3 linked regions of the Drosophila melanogaster genome follow. Changing the gene in region 1 together with any one later gene gives a genetic interaction. Each region holds a gene or a part of one and is shown on either strand. Other genes may lie near its edges.

Region 1 (6,107 bases):
GCTCGGATCCGTCGGAAGCAGGGGTTTGCCGACACGGAAATCGGCTCCATTCCGGCTGGCCTTCTGCATGATTTCTGTGAACTTGCTGCTCAGCCCGCAATTTTGTGATAGCTTTAACTTTGCGTTTTCCGGGGCGTCCGATTCGTTTGTGGATTCGCTTGTTCGGTGGGGGCGCTTTTTTGCCTTCTTCTGCTTCTTGTGGACATGCCTGTCCTTCTCGGTCTTGCCAGTCGAGGATTTTTTATGTTTTTTGTGCTTTTTAGCCTTTTTGTGCTTGGCCCGACGCTCTTCGGTCTCGCTGTTGTTGCTGGAGTCGTAGCTATTCGGTACAAGAGGGGAGCAGCCCAGGTCAATACACACACGTGCGGTCGGCTTAGTAAAATTAACCTACCTTTTGTCGTCAGCCATTATTTGATTGTTTAACAATGTAAACTGCAGATGCGCGCACACTGTGCGTTCATAAGGTGTGCGGTAATTCTGCAGATGGCTAATGAAACTTGTAATTTTCCTCTTATTGTATTCTTCCTCTTCGTAGCTTTTTTAGTGTGACTGCACGCCGGACAAAAGTAAATACGTTTTAAAAATACCTCCTGGGATTTCGGAATTATTTCTAGTATATATGCAAGTAAAATAAAAATATATTAAAATTAAATTTTATAACCCTTAAATATCGTCTTTGGCGCAAGTCTAAATTGGAAATAAAAACGAAGGAATTTCGAAACAACAGTTGAATTTGTATATTATAGTTCATGACATTTTATTTTTTTGTTTTTATTGTACATGCTAGCGCTTCTAACCTAATTGGCAACAGCTACATCCACGTCGTGCTCATCTTTGTCGATGCTTAGCTCAAGCACCGTGTCCTCTTCTACGGACATGGCTTTAGAGTCCTCAGTAGAGACTGAGTGATATTTGGGCTCGCCGCGGGCTCCGTCGAACTTTGTGGGAGTGCTATTGTTGAGATCGTCGTCTTCATCGCTTACCTCCATGATCCCATTGTCGTCTAGGTCCGGCTCAGAGCGGGCATCGCAATCGCTGGACGAGGAGGATGCCGAGGATGAGCTGTCCTGGTCCAGCTGCTGTTCCAGCTCGTGAATCGTGTACATCAGCAAAGTGAAGTCATTGCGTCGTTTCTGAAACTTGCGCTCCATCTTTAGCTTCTTTTGCACCAAGTCGTCAATCTCCCTCCTAATGGTCTCAATATGTCGCTGTGTTTCACTGCGGTCCGGTTGGTCCTGGATGAGCGAGGCCAGCAGGTCGTACTCCATCTTGTTCTTGCGAATCTGCTTGGCAGTGATTAGCTCTTTTTTACTGGATTCGATTTCCGCTTTAGCCAAAACAATACTTTCTTCGTGGTGTTCAACTAGTTGTGTGTAGTTGTCACGCTCACCGGCGATCATCTGCAGAGTTTGTACATTCTTTAACGCAGTGAGCTTGCACTGGGCGAATTGGGCCATCAGTCGGTCGTACATGATGGGACTGTAATTCGGAAAAGAGGAGATATGTACACCATGTTTTGAATACACACATATCCAATTTCTTACTTGCTGTCCAGCGAGTCACTGGCCCACTTCAAGAACTGTTTCAGCAACACTACTATTCTCCGATCCTCTCCAGTTCCATCCCCGTCAATCAGCAGGCGCTGCTTTATGATTTCTTCTGGAAGATCAGTTTAAATATCTATTCCCAAATGCGAAAATAAACAAAAACAACTTACCGTCATTCATCTCCACTAATTTCCGAACTAGCGTATCGGAGTGTGGCCGAAGCTGACACTGCTCCGACATACCACGCAGTACGGTCCTACTGTACTTGTCCTATCATTTTAATTTGGAGAAAGTATTGAATTATGCCTTACCCTTTATATCCCGCCCATAGCCAAGTGTAGTGCCGTACACTTTCGGACATCAGCGAATCCCATTAACTAAGTGCACTTCTTGCAGAATGTCGGAAACGTCAAGCGTCAACGTGGATGCGGACCGAGATTGCAGAAGGATTGAGGGCCTCCGACAGCGCTCACAACGCCTTGCTGCCCGCCTCCAGCAGATGCAGAGGGAAATGGAGTCTAATGCATCCAGCAAAGACCTATCGGCCAACAATGCCGTTATTCCGCTGCAGCCACTAATGCGCTGGGCGGAACCACGGCCACATCCCAACCAATCCCAACCATCTGCTCGGAGCAACAGCAGGCAGGCCATTCCTTACGGTGTGCCAGTATCCACGCCAGCGCCGGTAGCTATGCAATTGCCCTACCACGTAGCATTCGCCTCCTACCAGGCGACCATGCAGATTCCCTGCCTTCAGCCACTTTCGCATTTGCACGTCGTGTCTAGTCCCAGCCATCGGTTAATAGCGAAAAAGAAGTCGAAGCGGGCTCTTCGAAATGAGGTGGAAGCTCTTCAGGATATGGTCAAACATCTTTCACACCTCTCCCCAGATGTTAACGCGTATGCCTGCCAGCTGATACGTAAAAACGAGATCCTTTCTCAGCTCGAGTGGAGTCAGACCAGGTCAGAAGCACATCCGCAACAGGTTGGTTACCAGGGGCGGCATCGCCACGATTCTGAGGTCTCTGCTACAAACAATGGAAGTCATGTACAGCAGCAACCGAAACTAGGACGAAGGCAACGCAATAGCAAGAAAAACGATGGATCCGGTAGCAATGGGACCCAATCGCAAAAAACCGAACTAGAGGCCATGCGGTCGTACATAAACAAGATTGTCCAACGTCACGTGGGTATGGATCACCAGTTGTCGGAAGACTTGATTTTCAAAGGTAACTTCTCCGACCTGGAAGCGCATGCGCAGAGACTAGTTGCGGCGGGTTATGGGCGCATTGTAGAAGAGGAAATCCGGGTTAACCGCAAGAACAACAGACAGGCCTTTATAATCATGTCCACTGATCGAGAAGCACTCGAACGAGATGGCATCGTGCTCTTGCCAGTGGCTAGGCGCTATGCCTTCGATGGTGACAAAGTACGTGCATTCGTGCTAAACCCTGGTGCTCAGGGTAGTTCAAAGACAGCTGAGCCCTCGTCTGGTGAAATCTCTGGTGGGAAGCCCTCATTATCTCTTGGTAAGTTTATCGGCAAACTTATAATACTTTCGACTGATGATAATATCCTATAAAGCGGATGGTGAGGAGCTTTCGGACGATACCGAGTCCCAGGGCTCTGAGTCCGATACCGACAACGTGGTCGTGATATCGTCGGACAACTGCCCTAAAGCGTTCGTCATAGCAATAACTAAACGAACTGAGCTCCGCCAGATCGTGGGAACCATATCGTTTACGAACCCAACCAAACTCTGTGACGACCAGCTATTCTACAAATTCCGACCGTACGATTTGCGTGTCCCCATGGTCTACGTTCCGAAGGATGCCTGTGCCGCCCACATCGGAAACAAGCAGCAAATAGACGTGTCCGGCCTCTTATACCTTGCCCATATACTCGAGACAGATTGCAATGGGCACTGCATCGCTGAACTAATCCAGCCGGTTGGCCGCGTGGGTAATTTGGATGACGAACTTAAGGCAATTCTGTTTCATAACGGTCTCCGGGATATAAAGCCATTTGAGCAACGATTTATCGACATTTACTCCCAGCCGCCACCTCCGATAAGCCAAGAGGATCTGCGTCAACGAAAAGACTTAAGAAAGATGTGCATATTTACTATAGATCCGATGACTGCTCGCGATTTGGATGACGCCGTTTCTATAGAGAAGCTAGGCGACAACGAATATGAGATTGGCGTCCATATATCCGATGTTTCGCACTTCCTGATAGAGGACAATGAACTGGATAACATAGTGAAGGAACGCTCTACGTCTATTTATTTAGCCAACGAGGTAATCCACATGCTGCCTCAGTCTCTATGCATGCGATGTTCCCTGCTCCCTGGGCAAGACAAGTTTGCTTTTTCCGTCTTCTGGCGGATGAACGGGAAGGGAGTCATGCTGCAAAAGAAGCCAGAATTTTGCCGCACAGTCATTAACTCTTGCTCGCAATTTGCTTATGAACACGCTCAAAAGATCATCGACAACCCTAATGAACGGTTTACCGAGAACGACTTTCCGACCATCCTGAATGGATTTAATCCCGATGATATCAGAAATAGGGTGCTATGGCTGCACGACATTGCAAGCTCCATCCGTAAGACACGTTTAGACAATGGCGCACTCACAATTAACAATGCCAAGCTACGCTTCCTGCTCGATCCAATTACTGGCGAGCCGTTGTCTTTTGAAGTGGAGAAACAGCGAGAGGCTAACCGGCTGATTGAAGAGTTTATGCTCCTGGCCAACCAGGCAGTCGCCCGCTTTATACACGACTCCTTTCCGGATATCGCTGTACTGCGTAACCACCCTCCGCCACTTATTAAGTCCCTTAAGGCTTTAAGGGAAAAGCTGCTTGCTCTGGGATTCGAATTGGACTATAGCTCGTCTAAGGCGCTCCAGGAGAGCATGGTGCGGTTGTGCAATGAGGCGCCCAATCCTGTCGCAATGAATGCCTGCCTAAGTCAGCTTTTGATGAAACCAATGGCCCGTGCAACGTGAGTGTCTCAGTTTTCAAATAATTACTCTTCCCACAATTTCCCCCCTTTAGATATTTTTGTAGCGAGGGTAAATCGGAACCGGCTGACCTGTGGCACTACGCCTTGTCCATACCCATATACACTCACTTTACTAGCCCAATCCGTCGGTATCCTGATATTTTGGTGCACCGGTAACTGTCACTTACCTTGGAAGTTCGCCTCCCGTACTTAAAATTTCCTCCACTCTAGACTTTTGGCGGCCGCACTTAAATATTGTACACCGCCTAAACGTACCCCAGATGATTTGCACACCTTAACGAAATTAGCGAATGAGCGCAAGTACAATGCGAAAAAGGCCGGAGAGGACTCTGGTAACTTGTACTTCAAACGATATGTTCACAACAAGCAGGGCATATACATGCGAGCTGTGGTCATTGAAATATTTCAGCATATGATGAACGTAGTTACTCTGGAGTCGGGCCACGTTATAAGCATTAACTACAAAATGCAAAAGGTCCTCGTAGACACACACGGCGTACCCAATTACATTCTTATTGCCGAGCGCAACTTAAAGCAGTCACCTAGGAAGTTGCAGCTGCTTTCCGTGGTCCCCATATGTCTGATCATTTGGGACCAAAAACTAACTGGATTTTTAAAGATGGAAGAACAAATTTAGGAAAAAAAGGAGCAGACGAGCAGATGTAATTCTTCGCATAGGAACAACCCAAAGCAACTGCACCGTATTTTTTCAATAAGCCAAAAAAGTTTATAACTACACACAGAGGGAACATCAATTTTGTTTAAGAGATTCCTTCTGTTTCAGTGTCGTTAAATGAAAAATCAAAAAAATCGAAAAATACTTGTTAGTCCAAACTCACTTTTTTGAACCACATTGTGGGTCCGAGCTTTATGCTTGACAAAAATTGACTCTGTGATGCTTCCTTTTTCGGTTTGCATATCATAATAAGCTTGTAAAAATGTATGTACATATGTGCTATGTAAAATCAAGGCTTAACTGCTTATCAATAAAACAATCAAGTTAACCGAAAATGATTTGGATCATGCTGACAAATGTTAATCGAAAATAAAGGTCAATTGGGGTCATTGGCGATAATGTTAACGGCGAAAGTTTAAAGCATGAGGTTTTTTAAATTAAATTTGCATTGACGCAGAAGTATCGTCTGAAATGTCTAGATTCGGAATATTTGTTAGGCTGTCCAGGTCGTATAATCACCGATTGCAGCTGACGATTTTTTTAAGGCATTTTCCTGCTGTTAGTTGGACTTATTCAAAGCCACCCTCATCCGATAATATAAGAAAACTACAGTCTAGGCTCCAATGCACGCAATCCTGCCTAACCACCCCTGAGTACAATCCCGTCTGGAGTAGTGATATGGTGAGCTACGACAATAAAAGCAAATTGAACTGCGCAATCAAGTGCGGGTTAAGTAAGTACACACACAATATCTGCACAAGTCTCCAGATCGGATCGTTCTAAAACTACATCCACTTGTATCGTTGTAAAACTACATCCATGTCTAATCTAAACCGGCCCGGACGAGTACGCTAGTTAT
Region 2 (7,586 bases), on another chromosome or scaffold:
GAGATAGAAATAAGGTGATATAAGATCCAAATAGCGTTGCATTTCTTCAGCTAGGTGGGATTTGAACCTAAAAATACCCATTTGTTCGCTCTTAAGTTGGATGCGGGGAGTCGGGCAGTATGTATTCCAAGTCGAACTTGGCTCCGATGCGAGGCACTCGATGCTTCCTTCGGTTGACCGCCTGCAACAGAAGCGAGTAAATGGAATGAGTAAATTATGCAGAATAACTATCTCTATCTCCTCCATTACCTGGGATGATGTCGTTGCTGTGGGCGCGTTCGCACTGCCTGTTGAGACCCCATCAGATTCGGACTGCGACGCAGCCGGCTGCTGTCGGCCGAGAGGAAAGCATTAGTTCGGTAATCAAGGCTTTGACTTGTAGCCAATGCTTACCTTAATTTCAAGCGTTTGCATCAGTCCAATCACCTGTTCGCCTGCTGATTGTACCGGAAGACTAGAACTGGCCTTTGTGTCTATAGTCTCGTTCGTCGGTTGCTGCAACACAGGCGAACGACTAGGATTCTTGGTGGCATCGACGTCCTGACGACCGGCTGGTTGGACGCGATTTAATTTCTTGGGACGGTACGCCTGTATGGGCACAAAATCTTGGATCGTTGAGTATCGCGGTGGCGCATTGTTGATCTCCGTCAGCTGGAGTGGCTGCTGCTGCTGCTGCTGCTGCTGCTGATTCGGGTAATATGGTTGCTGGAGGTGCATGTGCACGTTGTTGTTAAAGGTGCTCTGCGCAGCTATATTCTTTTTGGGACGCATCTGATATCCATTGTTGACGCCAGCGTGGAATGCGTTGGCGTGCTGCATGCGCGGGTGCACCCACTCATGCCACTGCCTTTTTGATGGAGCACCCAATGGCGGCTGATTCAACGCCGCTCCTGTCTGGCCGCTTCTGTAGAAATGCTGGCTATTGATACGTTCAGGCTCCATTTGCGCATGCGCCTGCTGCTGCTTCTTCTGCGCCTCCTGCTGCTGCGCCTCCTGCTGCAGCGCCTCCTGCTTCTGCGCCTCTTGCTGCCAGAAGAGCGGTGGCTTGGGTAGATTCTGCAATGAAAAGTAGTTATGTGAACACATGGTTGGGTGGCACATCTGGGCTGAAAGCAGTTACGGGCATTTGTCCGGGAAACGGAGCTCTTTGCTGTTGAAGTAGTGGCGGACGTTGCTGCTGCACCGCCTCCTGGAGTGGCGGCGAGCTCTGGTCCTCACCCACGCCCAAAACCGACATGAGCGCCAAGGTCTGATCCAGAGGAGTCAGCGTTGCGGACGAGGCTGCGGTGAATGCAGTGGAAGCAGTGCTTGCAGCTGCATCAGGAGTTTTTGTGGGCGGAGCAACAAAAATACTACCGCCCTGTTGACGTGATGAAGACCGATTTATGCGCCAATTATTTGGCGCAGGCTGCGGTTTGTTTGTTGGCGTACTGACGCGTTCCCGCCAGTTGGTAATCTGCTCCGGCACCGGCACCGGTTTTGGCTCCGACGATGGCTTGTACGAATCCGTACGGGCTATCGGATCGCTACGCGTCTTGACGAATTCGTCGCTAATTTGGGTCTTCATCGTGATCGGGACCGAGGTGGACCCTGCGGCGGTCACATAGCGACTGCTGGTCGCGCGGACTGGCTCGTCCTGTGCCTGGTTCGGCTGAGGATCCCTCACCGGCAGTTCGCAGTCGTTCTGCTTCTTTCCTTCCTCTGCAAGGAGAGGAAGTGGGAGCATTGCTATGTATGTGCCTCCTCCGATTCTGTAGGCTATGCAGCCAAATCCACTTACCATCCGTCTTGATGATCACCAGGGCAATTTCGGGCACCTTGTAAACTCGGTCTTCGGCGATGCCATGGATGTTGTTGCAGTTCGGAACGGGGCTGTCGAACAGCACCTTGCAGAACGTGTCGACAGCATGGACGCACTCCAGGCGGACCGGGTTGGGGTCCGTAACGGGATGAATGCCAATCACGGTGCCCTTAGTGCCCACGGGCACCATGTAAATGGTGCGTACGATTACGACGCGATCGAAGAGACGCACCGGGCGCTTTGATCGGTAGACATCTGGCAGTGTGACATTGGGCTTGATGAGCAAGTGCGGCTTCACCTGCAGTTTAACGTGCTTGACGGGCAGTGAGCGCAGGTCGTCGACGGCGGCTATCAGCAGTTCGATGGTCTCGCGGCAGACCGTCTTGGAGCCGCAAGAGATGCGCTCCACTTTCATGTGCGGCTGCTGGCGCACCCAGTTGGCCAGTTCCTCGACGCGGCGATGGCCAACCGCATTGGGGAACACGTCCTGTTCGAATACGAACTCGGCGCGATCGTTGGAGTCGCCAAAGAAGTCGATAACGTCTGGGTAACGCTGGCAATAGTTGCGCATCAGATCCACGGCCAGGCTGGAGTAGTACCACTGGTTGTTCGTGCGGAAGCAGTATCCGGCACGCTCCTCGTTCTGCCGCGGATACTTGAGCTGCAGGCCAATGTTGTGCTTGGTCACGTTTTCCATCTTCTGACGCCGCGGACCGAGCACCACCCACACGGTGCCACTTAGGCGTCCCAGGGTGCGGCCACTGATTCGGAGCAAGTTGCAGACCTGGAAGGTGCTCAGATAGTCCCGGTCCCGCTCTTCCTGCAGCTGACGTGCCGCATTTACTTTCGGTTCCGGTCGCACCATGATGCTGACTGCAGAGATGAAATGATGATGGGGTGTCAAGGACATGGCGAGACGAACTTACCTTGAATCCGGCCGTTGGTGTAGGCCAGCCGTGGGTCCTGCACAGTTCCCTCGCTGCCGTAATACGGATCCGTGATCAAGAAGATCGTGCTGCCAACGGGGAAGTAGTGCTCCACGTTGAGGAAATTCTTGCGCATTCTTTCCCACACAGTCAGATCGGCCACCACGCCCTGGGCTGGATAGCCGGTGACGGAGCTGCTCCACGAGTCGCGCACCATCAATGCCCCCTTGTCGCGGAACTCCGTCGAATTGCCGGCAAAGGTGCGCACATAGACGAGCACATCATAGTTGGCAAACTGTATTCCCATACGATTGATAAAGCTGTCGTGGGAGGAGAAGGAGGAAAGGGAAGATGGAGCATTAGCAGTGTGAATGCAGGGCCAGACGGCGGCTTCACACTCAACTGTTCCTGCAGTGCCTTGCATTCCGAGTCGAAACGCCGCGAATCGTTTAGCGTGATTCCCTCGCTGTCGACGCGCTGATCTCGCGTGGCCACGCGCACCACTATCGCCTTGACGAGATGCGGCCAGCCGACGTGGATCACCTTCCCGAGGTACTGGGAGGCCACCGCCGTCAGTGTGTCCTCCAGCTGGCGCTTGCGTGGTTTTAGCACAATGTTCTGGTTGCGACTGACCTGTTCGAACACCTTGACGCGGTCGTTGCGCAGCTCGAACTGGAAAAGAATAGCAAGCATATTAGACATGGCGGACATGGCGAGCGTTATGCATGTGTCCCGGCGTCACTCACATCGAAGGGCAGATGCTGCATGGTGGGAAATCCCGGGAAGAAAACGGTTCTCGCCGCATTTGGTAGCTCGATGCACACGCTGTACGGCAGATTGACTGCGATTTCGTGCGACCACTTGGCCACCTCCGTGCAGTAGAGCACGGGAAGAGCCCTCAGCGGTGGATACGCTGGCATGGGACCCTGCGCCACCGTACTGTATTTGTACACATACATGGGACCGTGTCGGTTGCGTTCGCGCTCCTCCAGCGACAGCTGAGCCTCGCATGGCAGCATAGCGGCCAGCAGCCGACCCTCATCGATGAAGGGTATCAGCACAACCGCCTCCCAATCGTGTTTCTTGCCATTGAGGTCGCTCTCGAACTCCAGTGGATAGAACTCGGCCAGCGGGCTGGTCGGCAGCAGCATGAGGTCGTGGTAGGCGACAGGGAGAAGCTTTGCACTGGCCGCCGGCAGTACCGCCAGAAGCTTTATATGAAAGATTGGACAGATGGCTTAAGTAAATCTAGTATGTGTGCAGATATATGGATACATGGATAATTTGGTTGAGAAGATTGCTTTAACCAAATGATCTAGCACCACCATTGGATTAGAGGGAGATAGATATATGTTAGAAAGGAGATACGCAAATGATAGTCTAAATTGGTGGCTCTGGTTTATGTTTAAGAAATGGTAAGCCTGATGCTAGGAAAGTTATCGGTGCTAACTAAATGTGCTCAGCTCACCTGCTGGAATGGCAGAAAGGGCGTGCCCATGTGGAAGGCGATCTCCACCTGCTCGATGTTCTTGAGGTCGCTGATGAATGGAGTGTAGTGGAAGGGATAGTACCAGTCCCAGGACTGCACGCCACGGTAGTAGTAGTCGAGCACCCACTGCAGCGCATTGACGTAGTGGTGGCACAGTTCCTCGATCAGTTCATCATTCGGATCACGCTTGAACTTGTTGCGGTAGAAGTTTCGCTTGTAGTTCTGGAACTCCTTCAGAAGAACCGCGTTCTCGTCGGAGCAGTCCTCCTCGCTGTCGTCATCGTAGAGCTGTGGATGGGAAGGCGGCATTGAGCGGACGGAAATGACGGGATGGCGGTCAGTGCAGAGAGTTCATACCAGCATGCTCTTGTTGATGAGGGCTCCGAGATCGGAGTCGAGGTTTTGAGACTCGGTGATCTCGCCGACGTCCATGTCGAACGCCTCTGATTTGTTGTTCATGTACTTCAAGTCGTCGGCGTGCTCCTTGAAGTGATCCAGCTCCACCTCGGTGAGGGCCGATATGAAAATCTGCAAGCGGCGCAGGTTGAGCTTGCCGTTCTCGTTGATGTTGCCGCCGAGGGTCGGGTAAATGCCGATGTAGGTGCGGTAGAGCAGCGGCAGTGCATTTGATGAAATGTGCAGGCACGGCAGGTGGGGAATGAAGTCGTTGCCGACCAAAAAGCCCATCAGCACCCAGTCGTCGATAAGCTGCGCAATGTCCAATTTGTGCTCGTCTGTTCTCAGGGCGTCGAACTCCAGCTCGAGGTACTCGCGCAGCAGACCCAGGTGCAGCAGGAAGAAGCGCGTCTCCTCCACCGAGGTGCGCTTGACGTTGCGCCCGAACTTGACCTCCTCGCGCAGCACCACGAAGTGCAGCTCGTGGGTGCAGAGGCCCAGAATGATCAGATCGGCGTCCAGGCCGTAAAGGCAGTGTCGTGTATTGGGATCATAGTCCGGCTGCGTCTTCATGTACCGAATGTAGTCCATGATCTTGTGCTCGCCCTCGCCGGGCGCCTCCTGGCCACTTAGGATTACGGTGCAACGCTGCCACAGCGGATCCGTCGAAATCTTCGTTTTGAGAAAGGCGCGCAGTCCCTCCTGCAGACGCACCATGAATTCGGTGCCCGGCGTAATGCAGTTGCTGTCGAAGCGCTCGTGCTCTCGCAACTCGCCTCGCTGGGCCGCCTTGGCCTCCTGCTGCTCCGCCTCGCGCGCCGTCCGGAATCGCCGGCTGCGCTGCTGGTTCATCTTGGCCCGTGGAGCCACCCCGTCAACTGAAAGGAAGAAGAGGCGCTGCGGCTTGATCAGGTAGAACAGCTTGTCTACGTAGTTGAAGATTTCCTGGAATATCTGCTCCTCCTCCAGGTGAAAGTGTATGTTGTTGTCGTCCGGATGCGAGCAGTTGTGGACAATGCCGTTCATGTCCAAGTACAGATTGTCGAACTCGGGTATCTGCAAAGGAACCGTACGGTGCATGGCAACATATAACGTGACCTAGCAGCTTTACTTACGCAGTGCTCCCGCGCCAATTCGCTGAGGCACGGATATCGCTCGCTGATGTAGCGAAAGAACTTGGGAACGCCCATGTCGCTGTTCTGGATGGGACTGTTCTGCCGCCGTGCTGTTCTGCCTGGATCAGTGGCAATTTAGATGAACTGAAAAATTTGTGTCTTTATCTGTTTTCAACATGTATTGATTGACACAAAAGTTGCAAGTAGGCGAGGCGTTGCCACAACGTTTCGCTATTGCCATGTGGTAGGGCCGGCGGCATTCCGCAGTTCGATGAATAACTGAAAGAATAAGGACCCTGACCGATTCAAATCGATATTAGAATCGATAAGCGAAACGGGCTCCTTTGCCAATAATCAGCTAATGGTGAAATTAAGCTAAAAGGAGCTAAGAACACCTACATATCTGGCAGCACTGGGCAAATGCAATGCTCATCATTTAAACAGTTGGCTTACAAATAGCATAGTTTTAGTTCTAGTTACTTCTCTAGTTCATCATCAGTGTATTTCATTTCATTCATTTTCATTTTAAAGTTCATTTTACCACTTGAACAGCATTTCATAGTTTTTGCGAAGTTCGAAGTGAAAAAGAAGAAAACTGTTTTTGAACTATTGTGGCATCGCATCCAAGGCGAGGGGCCACACTGTTTCCAATTAGAATAAAAACACTCACCGCTCGCCTGGTCACACTGGCACTGGCGAACAGCTGTTTTCCCAATCGAAAAGCGCTTGTGTTCCAAATTTTACGTAATTCGTATTTTGAAGCCGATTTCTGCCGTGTAGCCCCAAACGCCTAGCGAAATGTCGGCCCTCCGCCAAGTGATGTGCAGAAGCACCGCCTCCCTGCAGCTGTAGGTACCCCCGCCTGGCCGGAGCAAGTGCATCCGACCTGGCAAATCTGCAGCCCTCTAATTATCCACTTTCGCATCTTGACACCGCAGGTACCAGGCCAACAGGGCAGCCGCTGCCCGCTGGGCATCCACCGCCACGGACGGCGGTCCGCTGGACCCCAAGACGGCCCTGGCCCGCCCCGAAGAGCTGGAGCAGCGCAACAAGCTGAGTGGCAAGATCACCGTGCCGACTGCCGTCAATCTCAGCCCGATCAGCGGCGTTCCGGAGGAGCACATTCGGGAGCGCCGTGTGCGCATCCATATTCCGCCCAAGAACGCAATGCAGAGCGGCACCGATAACGTGAACACCTGGCAAATCGAGTTCGACAACCGCGAGCGCTGGGAGAATCCGCTCATGGGCTGGGCCTCCAGGTGAGTAGCTGGCACGTCCACCATGCCATGGCAACCTTGGTCAACGTCTCGTGTTCCAGCGGCGACCCATTGTCCAACATGAACGTGCAGTTCGGATCCCCAGAGGAGGCCATCACGTTCTGCGAACGGAACGGATGGCGCTGGTACGTCGACGGCGCCGCGAAGCCCAAGAAGGAGCGCGTCAAGAACTACGGCATCAACTTTGCCTGGAACAAGCGCACGCGCGTCTCCACCAAGTAGACGCTCCCCGCAGCTAGCCAGGATTATAGACCACAATTATCTGATTTTTTTTTTGCTTTGTTCATTATCTGAGTACCCAAATAAACAGTCGGCTGGACTCAAATGACCACAGCACCATGTAATGGCCACCAGTTTCGCTGCCAATGGAAGCGGCACCATCACATGCCGCTCTAATGACGAGCGGTTTGGGAGCGATGCCTATTGTGCTGCTTCTCGCGTGGCTCTCGCTCCTCCCGACGCCTATCGCCATGTCGATGCCTGCTCGGACTGCGGCTTCTCTTCCGGCTGTCATCATGATGCTGGTACCAATCTCTGCGCTCGTTGCGCCAGTCCCGATGCTCTTGTCGCTGTCCTCGGTCC
Region 3 (5,350 bases), on another chromosome or scaffold:
GTGCTGATGGACTTTATACACAAGATCGTCTGTGTAACCTGGTAGGTTAATAGCTCTTGAATGCTAGGTGTCAAAGTGTAGCTGGCTTTAACTGCATCCCCCCATATTGCAGCGACTCGGACAAGCAGCTGGAGCGATTAATAGCCCGCAATGAGCTCTCGGAATCGGAAGCCCGGCATCGCGTCGATTCACAAATGCCGCTGGACAAGAAGTGCGAGAAGTCTCACTTCGTCATTGACAATAACGGGAGCGTGGAGGAGGCGGAGAGCTCGGCCATGAGCATTTACAACCTGATGCGCGACTCCAAGCAGCACTGGCTGAACCGCATCAGCTTCCTGGGGCTGTTCCTAATCGTGGGCTTCACAATATATATGCTGCTGAAGGTGTTCAACCGGCTGCCCGAGTCCTGGCAGATGTAGTCCGTGTCTGTGCGTGCCATACGAGGTCACTTTATGTGTTAATGCAAATGATACCAAACCAATTATACAATTTAAAAGCTTGTTAGTGAAATATATTGCCGAAACGTGACAATCGCCTTTAATTAACAGTCTGAACAAACCTACATTGGTGTCGCGCTCACAAGGTAGAAGCCTAACAGACCATAAACGGAAGTGCCTTGAGATTGGATGCAGGGACAGATAATCGAGGGGGATTTCTTTAAAATGCATAGCGCTGACGCCAATTGGTGGAAGGTTCCTCAAGCAGCTCCGCCGTCTGCTGGCAGTAGTCAACGAACGTCTGCAGTCCATATTTGGTCACCGCTTTCGTTACATTGTGGTTTAGTTGTATGGGATCCTGTACCACCATCGGTTTTTTCAGCTGGATCGAGCATTCAGGGTTGTCCGACACATATGCTGAATACCTAGTAGCAGGGAAAGTTTTTTTTTTTTTTTTTTTTTTTTTTGTAATTTCTATATAGCATTACATATTTAAAGGGCTTAAAGTTAAGCAATTAATATTCTCACCTAGCATGCAGCATCCTCTCAATCTTCGCGATTTCAACATTAGCCTGACCTATATATGGGCAGACCAAGAAATGCTCGTAGTCAAATTTGGCGAAATACGCAAAGAAGTTTCGAAGGAAGCCCTTGATGACGGGGACGGTCGCCTTTAATTGCTGCAGTCCCAGTTCGCTAAACGATTTTTGTGCAAAGTTGACAACCCACGCTGTAAAGAGACGACTTACTTGGTGAATCCCCCCAAGAAACCGACGATGTACTTACGACCCACGAGCACGGCCTGATTGGCTGCATCCTCTATCTGCAGCATGGCAATGGGGGGCAGCAGGGCCTGGAGCTGCAGGAAGTAAATCACCATCAGTGTAATGCTGTACGTCGATATTTGTTCAGTTAGCTTGCAGCGCTCCAGCCAGTTCTTTACATATATGCACATATATTGAGCTGCAAGGGAGCGAATGCAAAAAGATAACATGGACTCTATCCGGCAGCATGTGCTTACTCAGTGGCTGTGACTCAAATATGTATTTGAGCAGATTTGTATTGCAAAAGCCCATGCTGTTCAGACAAATGTCGCACTCGATACCGGTTGGTAAGTGGCACGTCTTGATGATGGGCACGCGAGCCTGTTCGATGAACTGTTGAAGAAAGTGCAATGGTAAAAACGAACGTATTGCTTAGGGACACAGCTCACATTAATAAGACGCCAGTCCTCGCTGTCGCAGAAGAACTTCCTCATAGCCCGCAGCTTGGCGACGGTAGCGTTGGAAGCTCGATGCTCGAACGTGTGAAATGTGTTGCCTGCCAATTCAGAAGCCAGGTGAAATTGGTAGGAGCTCAATGCAGTACTAACCCGACTTACCGATGTCGACGAAGAGGTCCAGGTCCGAGGATCGATTTCCAATGCCTGTGATGCGGGACCCGAACTTGTAGACTCGCAGTGGTTGTTTGGGAAAGCCCGGCGACAAAAGCTTGCACAGGTCCTGTTCGATAACGTCGTACTCGGGAATCACCTTTAACTTGTCCGCTATTGGGTATTTGTCCTTAAACACATTCGTAATCTCTCCCACAATCATTGCCCTGGCCTCTGCAATGTAAAAAGTATTTATAAAATATCGCTGGCTCTAAAGAAAACATATTAATCAAAGTATTGAGGCTTTATCAATCTAACATTTACAAGTAGTCAGACCACAATTTTTAGACTGCACTTCTGCGTAAGTAAATGAAATGAAATGGTGACCTACTCTTGGGTAGCCGTACTGTTATATGCTGACGAGCCTTCACCTGGGCCTGCTTTTTCTCCTGTTTCGTCTGATGCGTCGGATGCGGCTGGACTGGCTGATTGTTGGGATTGGGTTTTGGATGCTGCTCCGAAAGGTGGGCCACAGCTTTTGCGATGGTGGTGCCCACTATGCGGTTGCTGCAGGAACTACAGCTGAATGTTCGCTTTATTGTCTGCAGCTCCTGGGGCTGGACGAAGGCCACGCCCTCACCCGGTGCGGCCATCTCCTGCGGCAAAACGTATGTGGGATTCCTGTCCAAGTAGCTCTCGATGCCCACCATAATGCGCTCCAGCAGGTTGGCCAGGTGCGGGTCTAGCTGCGGCGGATTCGTCGTCTGGTTCACTGAGTTTAGGGTCTGCAGAAAGAAGTGTGCCTCCATGGTAAGCGGATTCATCTGCACGATCAGCGGGCTTTAGTCTAAAAATTCGAATGATACAAACTCGTACTCACGTAAAGCAGTTTGTTTGGCATCATCTCGGCCATCGTCTTATTCTTCTTCGTGGCCTTTGTTACCGGAGCGGCTATGTTGGGCGCGGTGGAGCCCGGAAGCTGAAAGGTTAATCGAATGCGTTAACTTTTCTGCAACTCGAAAGTTTGCCGCCTTTGTTCGACTGCCAATAACTGTTGATTCGAAAATTCGAATCGAAGCGGTTGAATTTCGTAGGGTGGCCAACTACACCAAAGTTCGCCGGCGGTGTATGCATGTGAGTGTGAGTGTGACAGTGGGTGTACGTGTGCTTTAAGCGACACAATCGCACCGCGATGTACATATTTTTGTAGAAATGTGTGTGCATTTTTCGTCCGGATCACGGCTCCATAAAATAAATCATATCACAGGGCTCAGGGATTTGTGAGTAGAAGTTCCCGCCACTTAAACGTCACTTGTGAAATCGCCATCGACGGTCAACTTTTACTCACACTGGTCTTCCGCGGACGGACCGTCTCAAAGTACTGCCTTTCTGCGTTGGAAAACATCGCCTTTTTCGTCCAAAAGGAGTCCCCAGGTTCGATCCGCATGGCGTTGTGCGTGCGTGCCTTTCTTTTCAAATGATTACGGCTATTAACTTGGGGGCGTTAAGTTGGAAACACGTAAATTGCAGACTGCGATTAGAGTGACCATGAGTAGGAGTTCAAAATCTCCTGACATCATTTTCTTAAAACCTGCTTTGTTTTTTACATTTCTATTTAATATAACTCCTATTTGAATAAAAAAACAAAACAAGTTTAGATGTTAAGATATTAACTACATCCTTTGCTCCAAAGGGAGAGGGGAAGTTATGGAGTTAATTAATTTGCTGTTGGAAATCAATATGGAGTCAGAAATATAATGATTTACTAAACCTTATTGAATCGGTAACGATGCGAATTTATATTAAAATAGCTTTTATGAAACATTCAACAAAAATATTATTAATGTTGGCCCACTTTAGCAACCGGTTAGGTCTACCGGTTGGGCAAGCAAAGATTCACGCCCTGGTTCGAGTCCCAACTAGTCCTGCAAAATACCGCAGCAAGTTTTAGAGAGACCAAGTGCCATTACCTCTCCCACTTCAGTTATCGGTTATGCGGCGTTTAAGTCGACAGCTTGCCGTCTCTAGCTCCGGTGCCTATATAAAGCAGCCCGCTTTCCACATTTCATATTCGTTTTACGTTTGTCAAGCCTCATAGCCGGCAGTTCGAACGTATACGCTCTCTGAGTCAGACCTCGAAATCGTAGCTCTACACAATTCTGTGAATTTTCCTTGTCGCGTGTGAAACACTTCCAATAAAAACTCAATATGGTGAGTACTTTAAAAAAAAATCTAGTGAAATAATGCTGAAAAGAAATTTGTGTGGGCAAAATTCAATGGGCAAAAACGCGATGCGGCTTTTTCTCAAAATGGCGGCCGGCCTGCGTTTTTTCCTCAAAAGTGATGACGTCATGCCTGTTTTTTTTTTTTGTTCGCAATGAGGAATGGCTCTTAAAATCTAGATAAAAAAAATATTCATTATTTCTATGCTGCTGGAACGCTTCATTAATCTTAAAAATTCTAAATTCGGTTACCATGATACTTCGACGCATAACTGTAGATTTTGGATAGAATTAAAGAGAAAATGGCGAGAGAGTAAAATTCCGGCGTCGGCAAAGTAGAGCAAAAAAATCAGTATACCATTTAGCTACCTCTCTCACTCGCACGCAGTGCCGGCTCAAGTTGGGCGCGGCTCTGCAATTATCGATTTTCTTGGGGTGTGTAACTAATCATCCGTTTTCCCTTCCTCCTCATCCACAGCGTGAATGTATCTCTATCCATGTTGGTCAGGCTGGTGTCCAGATTGGAAACGCCTGCTGGGAGCTCTACTGCTTGGAGCACGGCATCCAGCCCGATGGCCAGATGCCGTCTGACAAGACCGTGGGCGGAGGTGATGACTCGTTCAACACCTTCTTCAGCGAGACTGGAGCTGGCAAGCACGTGCCCCGCGCCGTGTTTGTGGATCTGGAACCCACTGTGGTCGATGAGGTCCGTACCGGAACCTACCGTCAGCTGTTCCACCCCGAGCAGCTGATCACTGGTAAGGAGGATGCGGCCAACAACTACGCCCGTGGCCACTACACCATCGGCAAGGAGATCGTCGATCTGGTTCTGGACAGGATCCGCAAGCTGGCCGATCAGTGCACCGGTCTGCAGGGCTTCCTCATCTTCCACTCGTTCGGTGGAGGTACCGGCTCCGGCTTCACCTCGCTGCTGATGGAGCGTCTCTCCGTGGACTACGGCAAGAAGTCCAAGCTGGAGTTCGCCATCTACCCAGCCCCCCAGGTGTCCACTGCCGTGGTCGAGCCCTACAACTCCATCCTGACCACCCACACCACCCTGGAGCATTCCGACTGCGCCTTCATGGTCGACAACGAGGCTATCTACGACATCTGCCGCCGCAATCTGGACATTGAGCGCCCCACGTACACCAACCTGAACCGTCTGATTGGCCAGATCGTGTCCTCGATTACCGCCTCTCTGCGATTCGATGGTGCCCTTAACGTGGATCTGACTGAGTTCCAGACCAACTTGGTGCCCTACCCACGTATTCACTTCCCTCTGGTGACCTACGCCCCCGTTATCTCCGCCGAGAAGGCCT

The links.
Region 2: of Dis3l2 (region 1) and pcm, changing one suppresses a phenotype caused by changing the other (phenotypic suppression), as found in Drosophila melanogaster (one study listed by BioGRID).
Region 3: of Dis3l2 (region 1) and Tailor, changing one enhances a phenotype caused by changing the other (phenotypic enhancement), as found in Drosophila melanogaster (one study listed by BioGRID).

Annotation. Positions count from the first base shown.
Region 1 is NT_037436.4:210,901-217,007, forward strand, and holds Dis3l2 (Dis3 like 3'-5' exoribonuclease 2), read left to right. Parts: upstream 1-1,808; 5' UTR 1,809-1,849; coding exon 1,850-1,884; exon of another isoform or gene 1,885-1,943; coding exon 1,944-3,076; intron 3,077-3,131; coding exon 3,132-4,551; intron 4,552-4,604; coding exon 4,605-4,724; intron 4,725-4,782; coding exon 4,783-5,209; 3' UTR 5,210-5,579; downstream 5,580-6,107. Other genes in the region: Prp4k (Pre-mRNA processing factor 4 kinase), read right to left, coding at 1-319, 392-408; thoc7, read right to left, coding at 798-1,479, 1,545-1,659, 1,718-1,787.
Region 2 is NC_004354.4:19,486,012-19,493,597, forward strand, and holds the start of pcm (pacman), read right to left. Parts: upstream 6,001-7,586; 5' UTR 5,803-6,000; coding exon 5,728-5,802; intron 5,669-5,727; coding exon 4,574-5,668; intron 4,505-4,573; coding exon 4,196-4,504; intron 3,939-4,195; coding exon 3,474-3,938; intron 3,400-3,473; coding exon 3,131-3,399; intron 3,048-3,130; coding exon 2,728-3,047; intron 2,675-2,727; coding exon 1,781-2,674; intron 1,702-1,780; coding exon 1,121-1,701; intron 1,057-1,120; coding exon 394-1,056; intron 331-393; coding exon 250-330; intron 182-249; coding exon 92-181; 3' UTR 1-91. Other genes in the region: ND-18 (NADH dehydrogenase (ubiquinone) 18 kDa subunit), read left to right, coding at 6,526-6,575, 6,666-6,986, 7,046-7,226; CG12204 (uncharacterized protein), read right to left, coding at 7,397-7,586.
Region 3 is NT_033777.3:7,082,725-7,088,074, forward strand, and holds Tailor (tailor), read right to left. Parts: upstream 3,360-5,350; 5' UTR 3,257-3,359; coding exon 3,158-3,256; exon of another isoform or gene 2,936-3,157; intron 2,840-2,935; exon of another isoform or gene 2,789-2,839; coding exon 2,690-2,788; intron 2,634-2,689; coding exon 2,201-2,633; intron 2,044-2,200; coding exon 1,810-2,043; intron 1,758-1,809; coding exon 1,651-1,757; intron 1,595-1,650; coding exon 1,459-1,594; intron 1,401-1,458; coding exon 1,224-1,400; intron 1,168-1,223; coding exon 966-1,167; intron 863-965; coding exon 658-862; 3' UTR 501-657; downstream 1-500. Other genes in the region: Dpck (Dephospho-CoA kinase), read left to right, coding at 1-41, 113-419; alphaTub84B (alpha-Tubulin at 84B), read left to right, coding at 4,018-4,020, 4,510-5,350. UniProt on the Drosophila melanogaster protein: Uridylyltransferase which mediates terminal uridylation of miRNAs, leading to their degradation. Has high specificity for splicing-derived miRNAs (mirtrons) and other miRNA substrates containing a 3'-G terminal nucleotide.